2 linked regions of the Astyanax mexicanus genome follow. The protein of the gene in region 1 purifies or fractionates together with the protein of each later gene. This does not show direct contact. Links are inferred from orthologs where the notes say so. Each region holds a gene or a part of one and is shown in the gene's direction. Other genes may lie near its edges.

Region 1 (12,349 bases):
TTTCCATCAGTCTCACACAAATACATAACGTCACCAACGAAAATAAATAGAGAGAGGCCAGTCAAGATAACTTTTTTTGGATGATACATCATCCCAGAAATTAATTGCAATAATTGTTTTTTTAACAACAATAAACTTTTAATTAATCATAGTTTGGGAACTGCCAAAGTTTTGCTGCATATTTCAAGTTTTTTATTTCCCTTATTCTTATATAAATACAAGCAATCGAGGTCAAGATCATATGATAATTATCACCCAATATATATGCAGATAGTAATTAAGTAATTATTGTGCTGATGTAATTTACATTGAACTGATTATTTGTTCCATTGCAGAGGCTTAACATTTGTATGTATGTGTTCTTCATTCCCGAATACAGCTGAAACAAACTTATTTATGGGTTCTAACCAGATACAATGAGCTGCTAGTTTTCTAGCGCACAAAATGCGCACAAAATGAAATCAAGTCATTTTATACAGTTTTCTTCTATGTTAGGGCTGGGAGTTTGCTACGTCTGCTGTGCTGCCCGGTTAAGTTGAATAATTCTTTTAAGGGGTTAACTCACAGAATTTTAGGAAACCTTGGATAATTAATTTTTTTTATTAGATTATGCCCCAAAAAATTCCCTGTACACTATTGTTATCTGAATTCACAATGCTGAATGTTCAGCAATTAATAGTATTCATTTTACCTAATACTTCTCATATTGTCTATATATATATACATGTGAAATAAAGATACAATGAATCGTTTAATACGTTTGCAACTGTTGTGCAACTATGTTTTATCAGATGCCAACTGTCCCTAAATTGTCCACTCTGTTGTGTAGCTTGCTGTGACAGTGTGGACAAATGCATGCAAGTGAAAAAAATGTGATAGAGCGTGGAAGATATGATATCTGTATATTCAGAAGTAGGGCTGGGCAATATTGATTTTTTTTTCGATATTTCTCGAATATATATATATAAGCAATTCTTCATTCTACATTACGATTTTTAGTTAATTATAACCAGTTTTATGTTTTTCAGTTTTAATTATAAACAGACAGCACAATTTAAACTGATGAACAAGCTACATTTTCCTTTACAATTATTTTTTTTTCAGGAATAGTAAGAAGGCCCTTACATTCAGCTTTTATATTAAATGCAGTGTAAATATAACATTGTTGTGTTTCAGGAAGAAAAAAAGTGTAAAATATGAAAATTACTGCCACATACAGCTCTGGAAAAAAGTAAGAAATCACTTTAGTTTCTGAATTAGTTTCTCTGATTTTGCTATTTATTGGTAAATGTTTGAGTAAAATGAACATTGTTGTTTTATTCTATAAACTACAGTCAACATTTCGCCCAAATTACAAATAGAAATATTGACGTTTAGAGCATTTATTTGCAGAAAATGAGAAATGTTTGAAATAACAAAGAAGATGCAGAGCTTTAAGACCTCAAATAATGCAAAGAAAACAAGTTCATATTCATATGAACAAGTTTTAAGAGTACTGAAATCAATATTTGGTGGAATAACTCTGGTTTTCAATCAAAGTTTTCATGCATCTTGGCATGTTCTCCTCCATCAGTCTTACACACTGCTTTTGGATAACTTTATGCCACTCCTGGATTCACAATTCAAGCAGTTCAGCTTAGTTTGATGACTTGTGATCATCCATCTTCCTCTTGTTTCTATTCCAGAAGTTTTTAATTTGGTAAAATCAAAGAAACTCATCATTTTAAGTGGTCTCTTATTTTTTCCAGGGTTCTTTAGAGGTTTCTGACAGAAACACAAGCCTACCCACTCTGGCAGTTTCTATATGTAAAGATGTACATTCTCGATTATCCTATTAAAAATTATAATTTAATTAATACATTATAATATATAATAAAGCCCTAGTCTGAAGTCTTATACATATAATAACTGAACAAATAAAAACGTTAAAATTAAAGTTCTCTGAACGTTTTGAGGGACAAAAGCCTCTCAGAGTATTGTTATAATGACCCAACTCTGTGTTGAAACTTTCCACAAACAGCCTAGCTACATCTGCTGGGGATGAATGACACACACACACACACACACAGACAGAGAGAGAGAGAGAGAGAGAGAGAGAGAGAGAGAGAGAGAGAGAGAGAGAGAGAGAGAAGAGAGAGAGGCCTGCGTAAAAAAATATTAAACGCCTTTAACTCATCCAAAAAGCTCTACATATGAAGAAAAAGTGTGTTTTCCTCGTTTGTGGGGGTAATAAAAGTGTGTGAGAGACCTCAGGGTGAGCACGAGCACGAGCACAGTTACATACAGAGTTTACAGCCTCCTCACAACTTCCTGTAATTAGGGGCAGGTTGTGCCCCATCTAAATAATTAATGACAGCTCAAATTTACCACACAAACTAAAGTAAACGGTGTGAATGACAATGACCGACCTGTCTGAAGCTGTCCTGGTGGCCGGCTTCTCCTTTATCTCCTTGTTTTTCTGCCCTGTTTCTCTAAAGCGCAGGTGGCTGCCAGTTTCGAGTCTTGTCTGGGGAAGGTAGCGGAGAGACCAGGCCCCGCCCCCTTCCTGATTTCTGTGTAGTTTCTGGGTGTGAGAGCCTGTTGCTCATACATCCCTCACACTTCACTGCTTCTGCACAGATCATGCAGGGCAGCTTACCTTACTGTACCTTTTCTTATCTTTACTTAGGTCTGCTGTTTTTTGTTTTTTTGTGACAATATTTTTATTTGGAATTTGGGAGTAATGTTGTCCGCAGTTTATAGAATAAAACAACAATGATCATTTTACTCAAACATATACCTATAAATAGCAAAATTAGAGAAACTAATTCAGAAACTAAAGTGGTCACCTATTGTTTTCCAGAGCTCTATTTTATCCTATAGCTAACAAGCAGTTTGGTGGGTCAAAAACTGTTGTGTTTTAAGAGTTTAAGGTTAACGCTTTTTGCTTTTATATAGATCAATCAACACTGACTGACACTACAGTCCCAAACTAAACTTGTGCAGTAGCCGAGACTGTCCCCTCTTCACTATTTCTACATGTGAAAACTCATAACCTATACAATGCACTATTATACAAAACAGAATTACAACCCGAGATGAGTGTAGTAACAAAAGAGAACTACTTCATTTCTGTACTTTAGTATAGAAGTAAAATGCTGTATCTGTATCTACTGGAGTACTTTTTTTACACTTTCACTTTTACTTTACTACATATTTTAGATGAGTTTATTACCTTTAGCCTGATATTTTTTTATGTCCTGCATCGTTACTCGTTACAATTATAAAAATGTTATATATATGAATCATTCCAAACCCACATTCTCACTACCAGTCCAGTAGTGACCAGTATGCACTGTCACCAGATTTAATGAAAATGCTCATCAATGAGCAAATCAAGTGATCAAGCTAATTTTATAAGAAAAGTCACTGCTGCTGTTCTGTTTTTCACTCTGAGAACTTTCCACTGCTTTCTGAAATAACAACATAACAAAAGTAATTTACTTTTACTTTCAGTACTTGAGAAATGCATTTATAAACTAATAAACTACTTGCAATACTTAAGTAAAACAACATATTCAATACTTTAATGCTTCCACTCCAAGTATGGAACTTAAAGAACACTACAACTTCTACTCAAAGTCACTTTTTTGAAAGAGCACTTGAAGTTTTAGTCAAGTCTAAGTACTTTAGTACTTTATACTTCTCTGATTATAGCTGATGTTGCAAAACAGCTTTACAGAAATCGGGTAGCAGGACAGAGAATCAAAAGCAACATAAAACATAAAACCCCAGTGAGCAACAAAGGCAAGAAAAAAACTCCCACAGAGCTGGAACAAGAAACCTTGGGATAACCAAGGCTCACAAGGGGGGGCGCATCATCCTCTGATCAGGCCACTTATTAATTATTGATAAAAAAAATCACTATACAGCCACATAAGTCTTATATGTTCAGGTATACTTTTATAGTTGAAGTATTGGTGATTTAATTAATGAAAGTAGTATTGATCGTTTAATTATAGCACTAAGATTTTTTAGACAGAACTAAAGAATGTCATAACCCCAAAAAGGAGAGCACTGTACAGGGCACAGCTACATCTCCACATCGCTGGAACATGGGCTAGGTAGGTTCCAGGTGGGTACGGGTTTTATGTTGGTTTGTACACATGCTGTTACTGGGATCCAGTTAAGCGTCCAAAATAGACCCCATCATTACAACCCACCTTAATCACACATCGGTTCCATCTATGTGCCATATGCAATGTAAAACCCACACGGGGCCCGTCTTTACTGCCCCCTGGTCCAATCAGTGATGGTGGCCCAACACCCATGTAAAACCAGTGAACAAAATTTTCTGGTTGCAGTTGGGCTGCCTATACAGGTCCCAGGTTAGAATGTTATCTAGGAAATCTGCCATAGTGTTCCTGTAAATCATTTATACTGAATGACATGGGTTTCACTTTGTTTCCACGTTTCATCACATCAGCATAATAATAATAGTAATATTCCATGAGGTGGATGCTGGAACAAATAGCAAAGTAATTTGTGCCAAAAGGTTCGACATGATCTTAACAATAAGTTCCTGACAACAAACCAGCTCACCAGCTTTGTTTCCAGACATATGAGTGGAAAAATATTATTTTTATCCTGTCTATGTTTTTGTTAACAGTTGGGCACTTATGTTTGACCTCTGGAAGGTTTATCATAGTCTAACAGGACATATCTTTATATATATTTATATTTCAAAGTCATATTTCATTACTGAACAACTATAACTCAGACTAACATGATCTTACTGTTCTCATCAGGCTTGCTTTTATGTTGTAATGCCACCATGTGGGCTAATGATGAGCTACAAGCGTTTTGACTGGTCACAAATAATTATAATACTTGACAAAACAGAAGAGACACTGACAAAACCTGAGGCACAAACCCCAATCACAGACATTAGACATTATCTTAATTAAATAACTAGCCATTTTTAAGCTTAATTGTTGTTCTATTTATGAATCCCAAAGTCACCCTGTAATGTCCAAAGATAAAATATTGCAGAAAATCCTGAAATTTCCATTATTATTTTGGAAATAAAAACAGGAAATAAAACAATTTGTATTCTGAGATTTATCACAAGCTGTCTCAGGTTACGCCATTATTTTATATTAATTATTAATATTAACATAAATTTCAGAAAATTTCACTGCATTTTCACTTGCATTTCCGATTATCAGAATAGTTTCTAGGATGAGTGCATCTAAAATCACTTTAAACATACTAAAATCTACCACACCAGTTTATTTATATTCAGTGACTTAAAGTGTTGCAGTGTAGTGATGAGCCACAGGAAGTGCTGTGGGAGTGAAGTATTGCTATACACAACTTCCCCAAATGTGCACTCATAACTCAAAACTAGATGGTAACTATGGACATTTTATATTTAGCAAAGAAGATCTTGGCTTAAAATAAAAAATATACAACACAATGAAAAAAAATACGATGAGAAATTTCTGCGGCAATTCAGTTACAAAATCTTGCCGGTTGGCAGGTGTGATTACTTTGATCAGATAAAAAATTAGCAGGATGTGCGATGCAGTGCTGCTTCAATTCTCATTTCTAAGTAAACATGTAGTTGAATACTCATTTCTGAAACATATAGGCTACAGAATATAAAAACAAAAACTATGAGAGTGGACTGGAATGACTTCCTGCCACACTGATGAACATGTGAAGTCAACAACAATCTTTCAGTAAAAATGCTCTTAGATTAGCATAACTTCCTGTTAGTCCCACTTTTCACTAGGGCCAGTTATTGACCAGTGGTATTGCACTTGCCTGATTCATTATGATGATGATTGAAGCACTATCTTGTTCTATTTTATACTTTTTTTTTACAATATAAATTCGTTTTTTTATTTTTTCAGGTTAGTTATGATCTTTAGAAAGACCCATTTTTAATCTAATTAATTTGGGCAATTATTTAGGTTGATTTGCCTTGTGCATAAAACGGTTGACCTCCTTATTTTAACAATGTGAATGTGAATGCATATGGCGGTTTAATCTTGTCATTGTAGCGTTCGTGTATGGTTCCTGGCAAAGCTGAGAAAAGTACAGTAATATAACTTTGTCCACAGCTCTCATAATTCAGGTTTCCAGGCGGGGCTTGAGCAGCACTTGTAGCACATTTGACAGGTTGAGAAAATAGTTTGCGGTTGTGCTCAGGAAGCCTCACAGCATAGAAAGAAATAAGTCTGCATTTCCTGAACTTCCTTGAACCCCTGAAGGCCATCAGAAATAGCAGTTACTATAAGAGGAGATGTGCAGAATTCCTTACTCAGCAGTAAGTATGTTGAGTTCCCTGTTTGGCCAATGTCCTAACAAGATTTTCAGTCTTTGCACGCTTCAGTATTTTCTTAGATGATGTGTGCATGCTGGTTGTGTTTATCTGTTCACTGTATTGTGTTTACTGCAGCACTTCTACTGACCTTGCTAAAGAGTGGACCACACATTTAGAACAAAAAAGAGGTAAGACTTGTTACTTATCATTTGTGCTCTGTAAACTGCAATAGTACAGTTATATAATCATTAATAACTAGTTATGATCAATAGTACAACAGTACATGTACACGCTAAAACCCTAAACAGTTAAAGCTGCAATTTACCCATTGATATGGTGGACATACCGCATATAGCCCTTAATGTTTATCATTTATTTAGAAGCAATTCAGTATTTTAAAAATGTATTTCATAATTAATAGTCCAGTTCATAATTACTAATTACTTGACCTAGATATTAATTAATATCATATTTAGGTTAATGCACTGGGCCCTCCTAACAACATTGCTTTTTTAAAGTTAAACAAATTTAACTTTAACTAATATTTACATTAACAAATAATACAAATTGTACAATTTTATTCAACCATTTAAAATATTTATATGTGCACAATTACTGTATATTTAATTCACAAGTAAATACCAAAAAATCGTAATTGTGGAAAATACAAACACCACTCTAGGTGGAAAGTTTTGTAACTATGTACAACCCTCAATAAAGAAAAGGTATGCTTACAAAGAGGAAGGGAATTATATAAAAACTTCCAGCACGCAATATTTACTGACTGAAAGGTCATAAAGAAACTCCAGTTAAGGGGAACTGTCAAAGCAAGATCTGCATCACCAAGAAAACACTCTGAGAGAAGGGCTCAAACGAAGTGGTGATACACTATTCTACTGTGCAGTGTTGCTTAAACAAAAATGACCTATGTATACTGAATTCAATCAGTATGTACAGTAAATAAACAAGGTCATGGTACCCCAGCTCATGGCTTTGGTTGTGAGGTAATTTCTTGTGAATGAGGCTGAACACTGGTTAATAAGCTCATGCCACGTATGGTTAAAACTGTCCATACAAACAGACAAGCATCTCCGGCAGAAATCACATTCACATCAATTGCAGGAGACCTCACACAGAAATCCTGTAGGTCAGTGAAGCTTTCTTTAGCTTCTGTGGAACCTGGAAAAAGTCATGAGGCACAACAGTAGACTTTGGGCATGCCACTGAAGGAATTATCTGAAGGAAACTTGTGAGTGAGACGTTTTTAAAACGGACCCTTTTACTTACAGTCTCAAAAGAAGCAGAATTTGATTAAATGAACCCCTTTTCAACTGTCAAGCATGAATCTGGATCTCTTAAGGGTTGGGTGGTATGGCAGCCAGTGGTACACTATACACTGCACAGTTTATGGAAAAATGGATTCCACTAAATATCAGCAAACTCTACACACAAATATTTACACTGTCAAAAAACTAAAGCTAAAAGTGTATGAAATGGACATCATTAAAAAAAGGTGGTGAACAACTTTAATCTGTGCCACAGTTTTTTTTTTCAAATCTGAGTGTATAAAATAATGAAAAACAATATACATTTTATTCTAGTATTTAAATTATACAAATACAAAGAACAGCACATCAACATTTGTGGCAAAAATGTATTACAGTAGCTTGCTTGCAATAGTTTTTTTTTTTTCAAGCAAAATGTTTCATTTGAAGAAATGTACCCATACTACTTTTAAACATACCTTTATCTATTTTTTGCTAATTAACTATTAATATATACACATTACTGTACAAAAGCCACCTGAGAACTATGTTATTTAGTTTAAGTATTTAGTATAATGCTTCATAGGCAAAATAAAAAAAATGACTTAATTAATTGACCTGTATCCATAAGAAATCATTTCTGATTATGCACTTTAGTTAATGTGTTTATATACACTTGTGGTATATAGTTTTATAAGTAATTGTTATCTTTAATTATCATTATGTTCATATGCTGAACGTTTGTATGGCCAGTGAAAGGTTCTCATCAGGCATTTCACGCTGGGAAAAAAAAATAAAACTTAAAGACTTAAAAACTCTAAATTAATGAAGCTTGGATGTCTCAGGGTGCATTCCATCTGCGTAGTAATTACTATAAACTAATGTTAACTAGTCTTTGTGTATGAACTGTAGACAAAAGTGTAAACATTTACTCAAATATCCACAATGAATAGCCAAAGCCTCTATTTTTTTAATGTAGTTATGATGGGCACTACTATCCCACAATGCAATGAGAAGAGGAAAGGGGGGATCTACTTACTTCTGAAACAACATTAGGAAAAATGGCAGTGATGAGGAAAGTGCAGCAGCAATGGCGTCTGGAAATCTTGCAGTGATGTATGTTGGCGTAGCAAAGGCTCCATTAATTCCTTTTGGTACAAAAAGCTAAAGCATTAATATTTTGTATATTAACCTGCCAAACTTGCATTATTAATATTATTTTACTAGGGATGCAATTGGGATGCAGTCTCTTACTAAATATACTGGGGTAATAAAAACTGTAAATAAACTACTGTACTGTACAGAGTAAACCAACAGGTTTAATTGCGGACATTCAGCAAGCAGTGATGCCCTCCATGAGTCATCCTGTTAGTGTCAGCACCCTTGGCAGACGGCTGCACAATGCAGAACGACATGCATGCAGACCATTACGATGACTGCCCTTAACACCCATGTCAACATCTCAGAAGACTGCAATGATGTCATGCCAGATTGTCATGAAGTGACTCAAAATAGCACTGTATCATCAAAACAAAACAAACAAACAATCCGCGTGTGGGTAGGCACTGTGGTCAGTGCAAAGATGCACAATTTGTTGTTACAAGTCACATGTCCAGAGGGCCTGGGAACTGGTGTTATTGAGTGGGGTGCACATTCAAATGATTTCAGATCACCTTTGGTCTTTATTACAGACACTTTGATAGAACAATAAGTTTAGCAGTTAATAAGGTCCTGCAGCCTGTGGTCAACCTTTTTTGAATGCACACTCTGGTGCACTACTCCAACAGGGCAATGTTTATCCTCACAATGCAGACGTCTCAAAAGCTCGCCCTGACGACACAGATCCTTTGCCATGGCCAGACCTATTCCTGATTAAAAATGTGTGTGATGCTCTTGGGCGCATTATTAACTCTCCAATCTACTGCAAAATCTGCAAAAAAATGTGGACGAATATTTGAGCTGCATGGGATGGAAAATTGCCGTTTTTTTGTGATAGAGTATACAATCATTAACAAAAATATTGTTACACCCAGAAAAAATTGTCGCATTGCAATGTTATTAGGGAGAAAAGTACAGTTGCACTCATCATCAACGGTGATGATTAATTCTACATAGTTTGATGTTTGCAGACACTTGCTCCACCAGAGTTGCTTTTGGAGTCAACTGTGCTAAAATAAGGGTGCTAATGGATGATTAATTATGGTTTAAGACATATCCTTAAGACATTGGCTGAAGCTCCAGCACTCCACAGCTGTTTTACAGCATGTTTAGAATCTGATCACAACTCCACTTGTGGATACTTTTAAAATTCATAAAAAAGTTTAGACTGACTGACCTTCATTACTTTTATTCTTTACTTAGTTGAGTAGTTTTTGCCATAACATGGATTAAAACATTACACAAATAGAGCTATTTACTACCTCTTCACAACCTCTACAACTGATCCTCTTAAACACATTAAGAGAGCAATATATTCAAGTAATTAACTCTTGACAAGTTAACTGTTAACTGAAAGCCATTCCAGGCGACTCTTTCTCATGAAACTGGCTAAGAAAATGAAGAATCCAAAATATAAAATTTATTCTGGTTTGTTTAACCCTTTTTTATTTTTGGTCTATATACTGTATATATATATATACACACACATATATATATATATGTGTGTGTATATATATATATATATATATACACACATATATATATATGTGTGTATATATATATATATATATATATATATATATATACGTATATATATATATATATCTATATATATATATATATACGTATATATATATATATACATATATATATATACGTATATATATACGTATATATATATATATATATATATATATATCAGCAAAATGAGTGTTTTTACCTGAAAAATGCAACACATATGATTTGAACAGATGCAAATATACATAGATACAGTAAAACGTAACAAGGAATCTATTAAACTCAGATGAGAAGAGATAAAAATATGTTTTAAGAAAAACAATGCTGTAAAAGCACTGCTTTTTGTAAAATTGCTGCTTGTATTTATTGTAATATATATCTATATAGGTCAGTTGGAACGGTTGCTTTTATACTAACTGGTTGAAGGCAATGACATTCATTTAGTCACTCACCAGAGCGAGTTGAGGATGGAAACTCTCAAAACCACAAAGGCCACTTGAGTTTCTGACACTCACTTTATATCTGATTCACACCACAGCCCAATAACACTCAATAACTTATACGTTATTCACCTTGTTCTAAATCCAGTGTTGGAACTTCTACTAAGAAGAATCTAATAATCTAATATTCAAAAATATGTTAGACTGTATACTGATCACTAAAAGTGGAGGGTATAAGAAATTAAACATTAAATAATTCATGCTGGACACTAATAACTAAAATGCATATGACAAGCTTTCAAAACCTTATTGGTGGTTTGTTTACGGTATACAATAAGGCCTGTGAACATTGATGAACATATACTTTATCTTTTTTTCTTTTTTCGAAGAAGGCTAGATAAAAAAAGTGGCAGGCCACTATGAAAACAGCTCATGTGACAGGAAATGATAAGATGGCGCATAGCTGAATTACATACATATTCTAGAGTGTGGGTGAGAGAGGAAGTCTCAGACTGAGTCATGGTGTGACTTTACTGAATGTGTTTAAGGGACCAGCATACAGCATTAAAGTTCATTTTGGACGTCCACAAAAGGATTTGTCTCTGTTTCAAGAATTTCTCCTCTTCTTTGATGTTGAAAAGTCTGGTCGGACCATTGTGATTTTCTTTTAACATAAATTAATTCTTATTTTTTTGCCAAACCATCGACTGCTTAGAAAGTACAAGTTTGGTGGAAGACTCTTTGTGATTGGTGGGACAGTTTGTGCTCCTGTAGCAACAGAGGTCTACGGACATCAACATCAACCCTAAGAATAGTGCTAGAAGACTACACCTTCTGAAGAAATGTGGATATGGTCTACGGTGAGTCGTCATGGTAATTGCAACTATTATTGTACAAACACTCTAAACGCTTGTTTAGTTTCATGTAATTTTGTTTTGCATTGTTTTAATGGGACGAGATGTGAGTGATGTGTCTTGGAACGTTGTGCATTTTAATAAGACCAATCATTTTTACCTGATGCATTTTTACCTGAGCAGTTCAATGAGATGTGCCCATAGTAGACATAAAAAGCTAATTGTGACCAATATGATAAGTAAAAAGATTCTATCCGCAAGAAAATTCCAATTATCATTATCAATGCTTGTTTAGGATGTCTTTGGTGCTCTTTTATGCATTGTTTATCTATGTGATTATGCTATGCATAGCTACATTTTACCGCCAGAATATTGTTCTGCTTTTTGCACAGAATGCTTATGCTTTTCTTCTTATTCTGTCTAAGGAACTTCTATTCCTCTCTACAGGAATAACTCATTCATGATGAGCAGCATGTCAGCTGAACTCTGATTCCACAGCCAGCATTCCACAGTTACCCTAAACATGACTGGAAAAAGACTGTTTACTGTCCTATATCACCATCTTCCTTACTTTGTTGGTTCTGCTGTTCATTCAAATTAGCTAATTAGCAACCTAGAGTAATATATTAACACACAGTAAAGAAGAAGCTCTGATTACTGTAATTCTTTCCAAAATGACAGAGAACCTCTATGACAGTAATGGAGCCTATTCATTTCAGAACAGTCTATCAGCATCGCCTGCTTATGGTTTCCCTACTGCAAGCTCATTACAAACTTGTCCATTGTCTCCACATGTTAACCAAA
Region 2 (12,627 bases), on another chromosome or scaffold:
TTGGCTGCCGCTTTTTACTTTATTGCGTATGGGTGAGTGTAAATGGTAGTGCATAAAACATGATTGTAAATCGTCCTTTGGTAGCTGCACTCACTCCTAATGGCTTATCTTCCCTTCCAGCCGCTGCTCCTCTTCAGTGAATGTCACCTAGCTTTACCAGACATTCACACAAAGCAATCCAGACTGTTCTTATACAGAGTTCCCCAATGGTGGAACAAACTACCTTCTACTACCAGATCAGGAGAATCTCTTGCTATCTTTAATAAACTCCTGAAGACAGAGCTCTTCAAAGGGCACCTACTCTCTTAAGACCTCTAACTAACTACCTTCTACTACCAGATCAGGAGAATCTCTCTCTATCTTTAATAAACTCCTGAAGACAGAGCTCTTCAAAGGGCACCTACTCTCCAAACACCTCTAACTAACTACCTTCTACTACCAGATCAGGAGAATCTCTCACTATCTTTAATAAACTCCTGAAGACAGAGCTCTTCAAAGAGCACTTACTCTCCAAACACCTCTAACTAACTACCTTCTATTACCAGATCAGGAGAATCTCTCACTATCTTTAATAAACTCCTGAAGACAGAGCTCTTCAAAGGGCACTTACTCTCCTAACACCTCTAACTAACTAACTACTTCTAACCTCTTTTCCTTAAAATCATGAATCATGAATTTCTTATTTATATATAATTTATATATAATTGAGTTATTTGAGATGTGAAATCTCTGCATCTTTTTTTGTTATTTCAGCCATTTCCGATTTTCTGCAAATAAATGCTCTAAATGACAATATTTTTATTTGGAATTTGGGAGAAATGTTGTCTGTTGTTTATAGAATAAAACAACAATGTTCATTTTACTCAAACATAAACCTATAAATCAGAGAAACTGATGCAGAGAGATGTTTTTGTGTGTCTCAACAGCATCTTTTACTATCACATTAGTCATGAGTTCCTATCTCATTCCCATTTTGTTGTTTTCTACCAGAGAGGAAATGTACTACAAGGCGGTTCATGGAACAGCGGTCATCTTCCTGCAGAACAACGCTGGATTTGCCAAGTGGGAGCCCACCACAGAGAGGATTCAAGAGCTTCTGGCAGCCTATAAGGTCCCTGGACGCTCGCTGTCCTCTCCTGGGCCTTCCTCCTCCAGTGCCGTAGACAAAGACTCCAAACCAGGCCAGGAGCGTTCGGCGAGCATGGACGCCCCAGGAAGCCGAGACAACAGCAGTCCTGTTGACAAGACTGCACCAGAAACGGCAAACGTTTAAGTGTGTGTGTGTCTGTGGATGCCTGTCTGTGTGATTGTGTGTGTGTGTGTGTGTGTGTGTGTGTGTGTGTGAGAGTGGCTTTGAAAGAGTGCTGTTGGGTTGAGTGAGACTGACTGACTCTCTGCATGTTAAGTTGCTTCATGAGAGAGAACGAGTGAGAGAGAGAGAGAGAGCAGGAGAACGAGAGAGCTGGAGCGAGTGACTCGCACCTATTTACTTTTCTCTGCCTCAACTATTTAAAGAGTTATTCTGGGTTTTTATTATTAATGTTGTCCTAGTTATTGAGGGGTTTAGTTTTTGTTTCGTTCGTTTTTGTTTTTTTTAATGATGTAGTGATTGTTCGGTCACTAATTCTTACATTTCGTTGTTGTTGTTACCGTTGTCATCTGTATAAGACGTGGTGATTCTGGTCAAGTCCTTCTTTTCTTCTGCCTTTTTAACTTCGTGCTTTGCTCCCTGACAGAGTCGTGGGACTGTCGGGGTAGAGGATGGAGGGCACTGCTCTCTAGGATTTTTTTGGATGTTATTTTTTTATTTTTATTATTATTATTATTATTATGGCAACAGAACGGAGGTGGACCAGCAAGTAGGCAGCTATGTTTATAAGCCTTTAAGATATGATGCACATTACAGAGTAGTTGTAGTCCTTGTGCGTAGTTATTAATTATTACTACCTGTGCTAGAGCCAGTTCCTTTTTACGTTCAACGCTCATCTTTAGAAGATGTAGAAGCTCCTCTGAATGCCTGTGCAAGCCCCAGTGCTCCCTTTTCTGGAATAAGATGCCGAAAGAAAATCAATCCTTGGTGTCTAGGAGTCCAGGCTTGGTCTGTGTGGTTCCTTATCGCCCTAAAAAAGAACAGAAAAGAAAAGAAAAGGTCAGTTTTTAGACAGACACGGCTGTATGCACGTATGTTTGTAAATCAGTTCCACGCTTCAGTTTACCTTTGTTAATAACAAATGCACAGAGGATAGAACGTAACAAATGCAACTGGCATAGTTAGTACTAAACTTAGTTTAGTAGAAAAACAGATCACTATTTCCTCTGTTCTCTCTATCTTTTGAGCTGTAAAATATGTGCTTGCGAGAGCTTTTGGTATCTTTTGGTATCTTTTTGTCTTTCTGTGACAAACAGCAGAATCATCGGAGCTCCATTTAGACAAAAGAAAAGAAAAGAAACAGGTTTCATGTCCGCATAATGTGTGGATGTTTGTTTAGAGCCATTTCAGAGCTGTTTGTTACTAAATATTATAAACAGCTTTCAGTCATGTTAGGCCACCCCGCTTCTCTTTGAGTCTACCTCTCATCTGTGAAGCTTACAAGAGCAAGCAATAGTTAAACGTTACAATTAGAGCTAGAGTTAAAGGAGAAATCCGGTGTGAAATGCACTGGAGTTGTATATAGTGAAACATGATGATGAGTATGATCTTTTATCTAATAGCCCACCTCCATTCTCCGTAAGCATTAAGAAATACAGTGCTAAAAGCCGATGCTCCCAACAGACTTACAATGCTAGTGAAGGGGGCATAGCGTTAACCATGCAAAGAAATCACTATTTTTACACCATTAAAAAACTTAAAGTAGTTCCACACTTCACGGTTAGATTTCTTTACTGAAAATCCTGACATTTAACCCTTTTTAGACCCTGTGTCCATTGCAATGGACAACATCTCTCTTCATATTTTTTGGTATTCCTACATTTAAAATATTATACTTCTTTCCATCATACTTCTGCATAGAACCTACACCGCAGCCTATGCAGCGCTGTGTACGCTACGCCGTAGCTCGACGGGCACCTCTCTGGAAATGTAAATATGCAACGTGGACAGCTGTGATTGGTCCACCAGGCCTCATGTCCCTGTCTACACATTCCCGGCTTCGCGGTTTAAACTGCAGAGCGACTGATACGCGCACACAGAAGTATAAACATGTTCTGCTGTATAGTGCACTCTCGCTGGATATGCGTAGGCTACAGTGTAGGTTCTATGCAGAAATAAAATTTGGGCTTTATACAGATTGAGGTTTGTTGTCCAACAGAATTGACATTTATCAGCCAACCAAAAACCTTAGCTTCACCTTAGCCCCGCCCACTGCTTTGAACAAAAGAAGAAAAAAAAAATCATGTTATGAGTTATTTTGACTGTTTAGGGATGATTTGGGAAACTAAAAAGTTATATAAAAGTTATATAAAATAAAAAAACAATGTTTAACAAATTATTTAACTGCAAATAACTTATAATATTTTTATAACTTATAAAAATACAATATATAAAAATAATAAATATTTTTAATCACTGGAATGTAATTCAGGTCTGAAGAGGTTAAAACGAGGCAATGAGAGACTGAGGATTGAGGAAAAGTACACAGATAGGTTATTAAAAACACTGTTTATACAAGCAGTACCTTCTCTTAGTATTCAGTGACTTGTCGGTCGCCATATCCTGACTTCATTTTAGGATTTCACAGCTCTCAGTGCCTCATTTTAGATGTGAGGGTCTTCAGAATTTTACCTATGAAGTGAGGAGCTATTTTGAGCTTGTTAATGGTGTAAAAAATTGTGGGCAAATCTATGCCCCCATTCACTAGCATTGTAAGCTGTATTTCAGAATGCTGGGGATTAATAGAGGCAGGCTCTTTTAACTAAAATGTTTTCTTTGTTTTTATGTTTCACTACAACCCAACTCCATTTCACACCGGATTTCTCCTTTACAGTAGATTGTCATTCATCCATGTTTTTAAGTCAGTTCCAGCACTCTTTCTTCTTCTTCTTCTTCTTCTTCATTATTTAGTCCTCAGATGATTGAGTACTTCAGTACAGTGCAGAGTACCTGTTTCATCTGCCGATGTTACAGATATGTTAAAAAAATATATGTCCAATATTTGTTTGTTTACTCCAGAACGAGATTAATCCTGATCACTGGGCAGCATATTGAATGTAAATTAAATAGCGGGGGGGAAGAAACATGGAGAGAGAGAAAGAAAGAAAATAAAAGAAAAGAAAGAGGAGGTAGACGAGGAGAGACTTCTTGTTAAAATTGTTGAAATTGTTAAATTTATTAAATTTGTTGATTATATTTGGCTCTGTTTGTTGCAGTTAGTAGCACACTAATGTGTATGATTGTTTTGTTTTTTGTTTTGAGGGATCCTGTATGCTTATATGTAGTATCTTCTTTTATTTTATTTTATTTTATCTTCTATATCTGTTGTGTATATTGTCACATCCCTTTATATATACCTGTCTTATTTTTTTTGTTTGTTTCCTTTATTTGTGTTTCTCTTTTTTATTATTTTTATTTTTTTTATTATTATTATAATAATATTAGTTTTTTGTAAGTAATGAATTGTAACATCATCAAAATTCTTGAGGAAACGGTTTATGTGTACCTCCTGTCTGACATTAAAACAAACAAAAAGATATATATATATATAGATTCATAACCATAACATCCACATTGTTTAAACTCTCATCATCCTCTGAATTGCTCATTTTACAGCATCGAACACCAGATGGATTTTCTCATTCCTGGGTGTTTTTCCGTCACCAGCAAAACTGTAGATATTGTATAGAAAAGCATTATGAAGTATGTTTTTATTTTATTTTATTATTATTATAATTATTATTTGTTTGTTTTGGTCTTTTTGTGAGCTTTTACGGGGGAAAAGAGTATTGTACATGTCTTCTCCATGCTTTTTATTTGTTTTAATTTAACATTTTTTTTAAACAAATCTGTTTATGAATTCTACGATTTATAAAAATATGTCGTTTTAAAACTAAACCAAAGTGATAACTAAAGAGGAGAAATTTATCTTGTATGTAAAAGTAGAGTTGTGTATGAGCAGTAATGAATAGTGTAACCAGCAAATGACTCGTTATTTTTATAGAAGTCTCCTTTTTGTTTGTTTTGTTGGGATGATTTCTTTGTTTTCTGCATGATCAGATTCTTCACAATCACAAATAATTACAAGTAGCTTCATTTTAGCGTTAGCTTGTCTGCTTTGTCATATGGGTCTTTATTGATGGTTTTGCATATATTCCCGTCTGTATCTCGATTGATTGATTTTACCCTGTCACACTGTTCTTGCATTTGTTTGTTTTATTGGATTTAAAGCACCATGAATGTCATTGCCCCCCCCCCCCCCCCCCCCTCCTAATTTTGATGGACAGAGATGGATTGAATGTAAATAATATTTGTGCTTAAATCGTTAGTTTCCTCTTCCTGTATATTATCAATGTTGTGGCATTTCTCATCTTCTGAATCAATATGAAGATAAACATCTGGGTCAGTTTGGCTCTCAGTAAACTCTATTGACACCATGTATCCTCTGTGTACTTCCATTATTTATTCATTTATTTATTTATCTTTTTTAATGGCACACTCTTAGCAGAAATAATCTTACATCCCTGTGTCCTCATATGGGGACATTACATTTCTGCTTTTTTGCACCATGATACTTAATTTTTTTTTTTTTAAGTATCCTTTTTAGCCTTATATGAAGACACTGCATTTTCCATCTAGTGGTCACATGACAACCTTACACTAAGTTGACTGAGAACAAGATGGTGGGAATCCCAGTCTAAAGTTTCTACAGCCAGTCCAGAAAGAAACATGGACCAGGTAAAAAATTCTAATCCAGTTTTACATATGAAACTATGTTATTTGTTTACTATAAAAAGCTCAAATTTATTTTTTGGTCTGAGTCTCAGGAAAATATAATGTTTTTAAAGAGTCGAAAGGTTTAATGTTACTCTTTGGGTGCTTGATTGATTAGTAATTGTATATGATTCTATAACTATTGTCTATAAAGTTAAGAACCCTTCAAGGTAGGGGTGATTGATATGTCGCTAAAATAAAATCCGCAGAAAAAAGGACCCATGTAAAAAATCTGTTTTCTCTAAAACAGTAACTTTAACCTTAATGACATCTGTCTGTGTACATCAATCTGATTATCTATCTGACTATCTGTGTATATCTATCTACCTGTCTGTGTCTGTATGTCTGTATATCAGTCTTTTCTGTCTGATTATCTGGCAATCTGTGTATATCTACCTGTCTGTCTGCTTATCTATCTCTCTCTGTATCTGTCTGACTATCTGTCTGTCTATCTGTTGATCTGACTATCTAGTTATCTTATAAAACTGCTAATTAGTCGTTGCAAAGCTCTTTAACACTGTTAAAACCTTTAAAAAAATATGAATTATAGTACATTTATTACTGAATTACATTTATTTAGTTTTGTTTCAGCATTTTTAAGTCAAATCTTTTGCTAAACCCTAAAAAAAACTCCACTCTGTAACTGTTTTCTACCAGAAGCTTCAAAAGTGCCACAACAGTAATGGCGGCTCAACCGATACAAACAGCCTCGTCTCGCAGCCACGCCCACGATGGGCTGTGCGCATGCGCGGCGCTGCCACGGCTTTTATTTTGACGCCGGTCAACCGGATGTGTGTTCTGAAGTAATTTGACCTCAGCTGGTTTACAGCAGAGCCTGCACACTCCATACTTTACAGCTTTAAATCAGGAAATGACTGTAACCACTAGAGAGAGCCCGCGAGTGAGACCTCAATAAATAGGTAAATGGAGATAAATGGCTACAATTCAGTATTCATTGATTGTCTGGGATATTCTATTTATTTTCGAAGGTAAAATAAAAGTACCCTGTTGAAAAATTTTAAGCTGGTTAAGCTCTTTGCTATTGAGTGTTTGAATCAGCATTTTGTAAATTTGATTTGAAATATTTAATAGAATATTTCATAGTTTTATGTTTTAGTATTTAGTAATTAGTAGGGGAAATTTAAAATGACCAGGATTGAATGTCAATGTAATGTTTATTAATTTATTGTTCTGACGGTTTGAGGCTAAATCCAAAAAGTAGTGCAGTGTACAAGAAATAAGTTTTAATCCATTTTTCTAATTTTAGTTTTTTCGTCTCTGCCCCTTACAATATGAATTTCAGGAAAATTAAAAAAAAAAAAAAATCCTGATTTTTTCAATTTTTGCATTTCGCATGTTGGAAAATTCCATCAAATTTGTGTTACAAGATCAAAATTTAATTCCACCTCTTGTACCACATGTGATGTGAATGACAATAAAGCCTCCTTGAATTACTTGAAAAATGGACAAATCTGAAAATCGAATTAAACTCCTAAACGTTAGATTGAACATTAAAAATTCAGTTCTAACGATTTTCAGATAAAAAAAAAACTATTTAATTGTTTAGATAAAGTTAATGATAAATTTAATAGATAAATCTATTATTATTTAGATCAAATCTAATTAGTTAATGTTTCTGAGTTTTTGATCAAATAGATTTGAATTTATTTGTCTAATTTATATAAATGATATATATATATATATATATATATATATATATATGAATATTTATAAACCTGTTCTTTTTATCTGAAACTTCTTTTAATGTTCACCACACAAATTAAAATAACGTTTATATAAATACCAGGCAAATTTAATTAAAATATACAAAATGCATATTTTTTGATGGTCAAGCTGGTCTACAAGCATGACCAAAAAGTATTTTGCAAAAAAACAAAATTACCTGCATGTTTTAATTTTTCTAGAGATACAGCCAGACCCGTAGCGCTTTCTGCAGTGGGTGATCTCGGTTACGGACGCTCTCTGGTTTCAGCGCAGCCTCGCTGTTTTGAAGCTCGGATGAGGAAGAGAGAGAGACGCTGCTCGTTCTGCGGGTTTATTCTCTGTTTTTCCTGCGTTCGGTGCCGGATTTTATACGCAGTTTAATATATAATAACTGGGAGAATAATGCAGTGAAGAGTGTTAGTTATTACACCGCGCTGGATCGTCGAAATCCGCTGTGTTTATAAAGAATAGAGTTGAGTCAGCCCCGCGGTCCGTCTGTCCGAGTCCCGGGAGCCGCTGTGAACTCGGTGAATCGGTTCCTCGGATCTGAGAGGACTGTTCTGCTGGTGATCTGTGTTTTACACTGGTGATTAGTGGTGATCAGTGATGGGAGCGCACAGGAGCGAGGGCCGCAGAGACTGGCTGCAGCAGGACGTCGCTGAGCAGCAGGTTCAGTCTGTGGTGAGTCAGAGTCGCTTCACTGAACTGATGAGTCATTTCTGCAGTTCAAGGGTCGAATCAGCTGGAGCAGAGGAACCGACCCCTGTCTGTCTGCCTGTCTCTCCACTTTTCTATCTATCTATCTATCTATCTATCTATCTATCTATCTATCTATCTATGTGTGTTTGCTTGTCTGTTTTCTATCTATCTCTGTGTACCTGTCTGTTTATCTGTCTGACTGCTTATCTGACTATCTATCTGTCCATCTGCCTGTGTATCTGTCTGTCTGTCTGTCTGTCTGTCTATCTATCTATCTCTGTGTGTTTGTTTGTCTGTTTTCTATCTATCTGTCTGTGTATCTGTCTGTCTGCCTATCAGTCTGACTGCCTATCTGACTTAGCTACCTGTCTATTTATCTGTCTATCTGACTATCTGTGTCTATCTGTCTGTGTATCTGTCTGACTGCCTGCTGGGAGCTTTTCTGGGATGGATTTATTTACTGGTTCTATTTTATGTGTGTGCTAGAACCCGTGGAACATCATGATCAAGCACAGGCAGGTTCACCGCAGGGGTAGACGCTCACAGATGACTGTGAGGTAGGTGCTTGTTTTTATTTTTGAGTGCTGTAATAGTTTAGCTTTAAATAATAGAAGAGTATTGTGTCTGTTCTGTGTGTCTGTGGAATAGAAATGTCAGTAACTCGTCTTTTTATTTCTCTTAGTTACACTGATCCTGTCATCTCCATGGATCTCTTGCGGAGAGTTCTGCAGCCCAGCTTCAACGAGGACATTTTGGCCGTCTTCAGAAAATATATGAAGGTAACAATTAGTCCTAAAAATTAATTTGATAATGTTGATTTTTGCAGTATGACTCTTTCTAAGACTATTTGACTCTTTTGTGCTATATGGTTTTATTTTTATATGTCCATCAATTCAAGAGGGGTTATTTAAACATAGTGCAGTTAAAAGAGACAATATTGAAACTGTAACACCCATCACTCATTATTTCATTAATACTAATTAAGGATCTGAATCAAACTGTTGTATGTTTTTCATTTTTGCAGTTTTTTGAAAAGGCAGCGAGCAACGTGAAGGAGAATGTGGGGGAGGATGTGCAGACGGATCAGCTTATCAAAGAGGCCTGTCGGAACTGCTTGGAAAATGTAAGAATAAAAACTTTGCTCTAGTAACTGTGTAATTAAAAGTAAAAAAAAAAAGGAGCATCAGCAGCCGGAGTCCAAGAGAGCACAATAGGCCATGCTCTATATGGGTGGGTACAGTAGATGGCATCACTCCTAGTGCAATGCTGGTCAGCAAGGTGTCTGTTAGCTGTTAGTGATGCTGCAGCAGCGACATCTGGAAAGGAGGCGGAGTCTGGATTCACATGTATCAGAGAAGACTAGTCTTGTGCTTGTCTTTACCATCCTAGTGTTTGGGGAGTTACAAGGTTACAAGCGAGCTTATTGTCCTTCCGAATTGGGGAGAAAATGGGATAAAACTAGTAATAACTTGTTGTTATTAAAAGTTAAAAGGTGACTTGTGGCTAAATTTGTGTAATTTTACTTATCTAGGCAAAACAGCTCTTTCCTGAAACAGAGAAAACTGTCCAAAGACCAGTTTTCGATCCAGCAGTGAAGGTAAGGATCAACCAGTAATGCTAAATCTGAATTGAATCTGTTATTGTTATCGGTTTGTCTCAAAGTTTCATCATATCATTACTGCCATGAAACCCCCTGTATCTTCATTTAAATCTGACAGTTGTTCTTTAACAGTGTGTAAAATTTGAGGAAGAATGAGTTAACAGAGATGCCCCAAAATTAGGGTATTTTTTGGACTTTAAGGCGCACTTAAAATCCTTTAATTTTCCCAAAAATCGACAGTGCATCTTATAATTACGGAGCAGTAAATCCACTCTGCTGATGTACAGCGTTATAAGTGTGAGTTTTCAGTTAAGTTTCTCCAGCACTAAGGCTAGGTGCAGCAGCATTAGCATTAGCTGCTAATCGCAGCTCTAGTTCTCTCATCGTTCAGAAGCGAGTATATCGGACTGTAGTCTGCGTGTGTTTGCCTTGTTAAAACAAGCTACGTGGGACGAACCACTAGCTGATAGTAACCTGGGTTACCGGAACACTCAGGCTTCCTTAGTCTAGTGCTATCAGACAGCATTTATTAGCGCTAACTGTGGCTGACTAGCGCTGCTAACCGGGGCTAGTGCTCACCTTTGGACAAAATTTTAGCAATGTAAGCTTACTATAAATAAGCAGAAGTGCTTTACTCACACAAATAAACAGTTTTAAGAGAGAAATCTGTGTAGATTAACATCCAGTGCTTGTTTGCTTTTGTAAAAGTTTTTTATTTTATTTTATTTACAGTTTTGTTACTTAGGCGCCTCCAACAGCAAGACCTTCTGAATTAGAAGGGAAACATGGTGATAGCTTTGCTCACTTCAGTGTAGGCATTCTTACTAGTGTCGCTTAATACCCCTAATAATCCGGTGTGATTTATGTATGATAATAGAGCAGAAAATAGACGTTTATTGATAGTGCACCCTATAATCCGGTGTACCTTAAAGTCTGTAAAATACGGTACTTGGAATAAAATTTTGTAAATTTTTTTAACATTGACTTTATTTAAGAAGTTAAGTTAAGCTAAGAAGTTTTGTGCTGCTCCTGAGAGATGAGAGGTTTTTGCATTACCATGACAATATTCTGATTAAAGTCATTCCATGAAATCTGTGGAGTTCAGCCTCCAATGTTAGTGACTGTCCTGGGTTAAGTTTCTGTCTGTTCCGCAGCGCTCACGGCAGATTGAGGATGAGTCCAGTCAGAGAGGCAGCCCCATCCCAAAAAAGGTAGGCTCAGTAATAAAGTTGGTTATTGTAATTATAAATCATAAGACTTGATTTTATATTCTGAACATTGTAAACTTTGAGCATTAATCTAAACCAGTGGTTCTCAAACTGGGGCAGTATTACATGTTTTTTTCTGTAAATGTGTTTTTTTTATGTGTATATTTGCTGTTTATTATTATTTTGCTTTAGACAACACCCAAAAAACAAATGGTAGGAACTTCCACTTGGGAAATATGATTCCGCATTAAGTTCATTAATCCTTGTCCATGGCTTACTGCATACTTATAAATAGCAGCGCTCTGATATGCAGCGCTGCTAAGGACCAGGGTTGAAAAGGGGGGCTAAAATAAAAAATCCTAAAATTAGAGGAAACACTGCGATATTTAAATAAACAGACAAGCAACGCAAATTAAGTCATTTTAAAATTATTTTGTCATTTCACTATTTGGCCGAACAATATGAGTCATAACATCAATAACCACATGATAGCATTGTGTAATGAAAGTAGGGATTAACAGTAAGAGATAAAAAACCCTAATGATTCCTGTAATTCCACTACAGTTTCTGCAACACACACACACACACTCCAGTACACACACTGTTACACACCTAATCAAAATTCATGGCCATACCATGCTCACTTAATATAGAGTTATCATCAACCATATTTAGATATATATACAGTGCCCTCCATAATTATTGGCACCCCTGGTTAAGATGTGTTCTTTAGCTTCTCATAAATTGAGTTTTGTTCAAAATAATATAGGACCACGATGGGAAAAAAAAGTAAAGTCCAACCTTTAACTCAAGTAAATTTTAAGGGGGAAATAAAATCCCTGACTAAGAAATAATTATTCTTCATAAAATCACCTGTTCCACAATTATTGGCACCCCTAACAATTCTTAGGAAATAAATGTAATAAAAGTATTTCTGTCACTTCTACAGTAGTTTACGTTGATCAGAGTATGTAGGAACATTTAATTAGTAATTCACAACTTCCTGTTTCCCTGGGGTATAAATATGACGTGACACAGAGGCCATTTATCTTCAACATGGGAAAGACAAAGGAACATACCATTCAAGTGAGGCAGATGTGTGTTGACCTTCACAAGTCAGGCAATGGCTACAAGAAAATCGCTACTCGCCTACACCTGTCCATATCTACTGTCAGAGGAATTATTAAGAAGTTTAAAACAACTGGAACAGTGGTAAACAAGCCTGGACGAGGACGCAAGTTTATTTTGCCACCACGCACAGTGAGGAGGATGATAAGAGAAATAAAAAGTTCTCCAAAGCTCACTGTTACAGAATTGCAACAAATGGTAGCTTCTTGGGGTCACAAAGTCTCCAAAACAACCATCAGGCGCTATCTACATGCCAACAAGCTGTTTGGGAGGCATGCACGGAAGAAACCATTTCTCACTCACAATCATAAACGCAAACGTTTGGAGTTTGCTAAGCGGTACTG

The links.
Region 2: the proteins of transcriptional-regulating factor 1 (region 1) and deoxynucleotidyltransferase terminal-interacting protein 1 purify together in Homo sapiens (affinity purification with mass spectrometry; 3 studies listed by BioGRID and IntAct, with this or other methods). This does not show direct contact. The link is inferred for Astyanax mexicanus from reciprocal best matches to the Homo sapiens genes TRERF1 and DNTTIP1.

Annotation. Positions count from the first base shown.
Region 1 is NC_064421.1:17,470,209-17,482,557, forward strand, and holds the start of transcriptional-regulating factor 1, read left to right. Parts: upstream 1-6,158; 5' UTR 6,159-6,313; intron 6,314-6,445; 5' UTR 6,446-6,498; intron 6,499-11,406; 5' UTR 11,407-12,219; coding exon 12,220-12,349.
Region 2 is NC_064412.1:6,323,176-6,335,802, reverse strand, and holds the start of deoxynucleotidyltransferase terminal-interacting protein 1, read left to right. Parts: upstream 1-7,905; 5' UTR 7,906-8,254; coding exon 8,255-8,329; intron 8,330-8,833; coding exon 8,834-8,904; intron 8,905-9,029; coding exon 9,030-9,126; intron 9,127-9,371; coding exon 9,372-9,470; intron 9,471-9,878; coding exon 9,879-9,944; intron 9,945-11,101; coding exon 11,102-11,158; intron 11,159-12,627. Other genes in the region: pcif1 (mRNA (2'-O-methyladenosine-N(6)-)-methyltransferase), read left to right, coding at 991-1,273. UniProt on the Homo sapiens protein: Increases DNTT terminal deoxynucleotidyltransferase activity (in vitro). Also acts as a transcriptional regulator, binding to the consensus sequence 5'-GNTGCATG-3' following an AT-tract.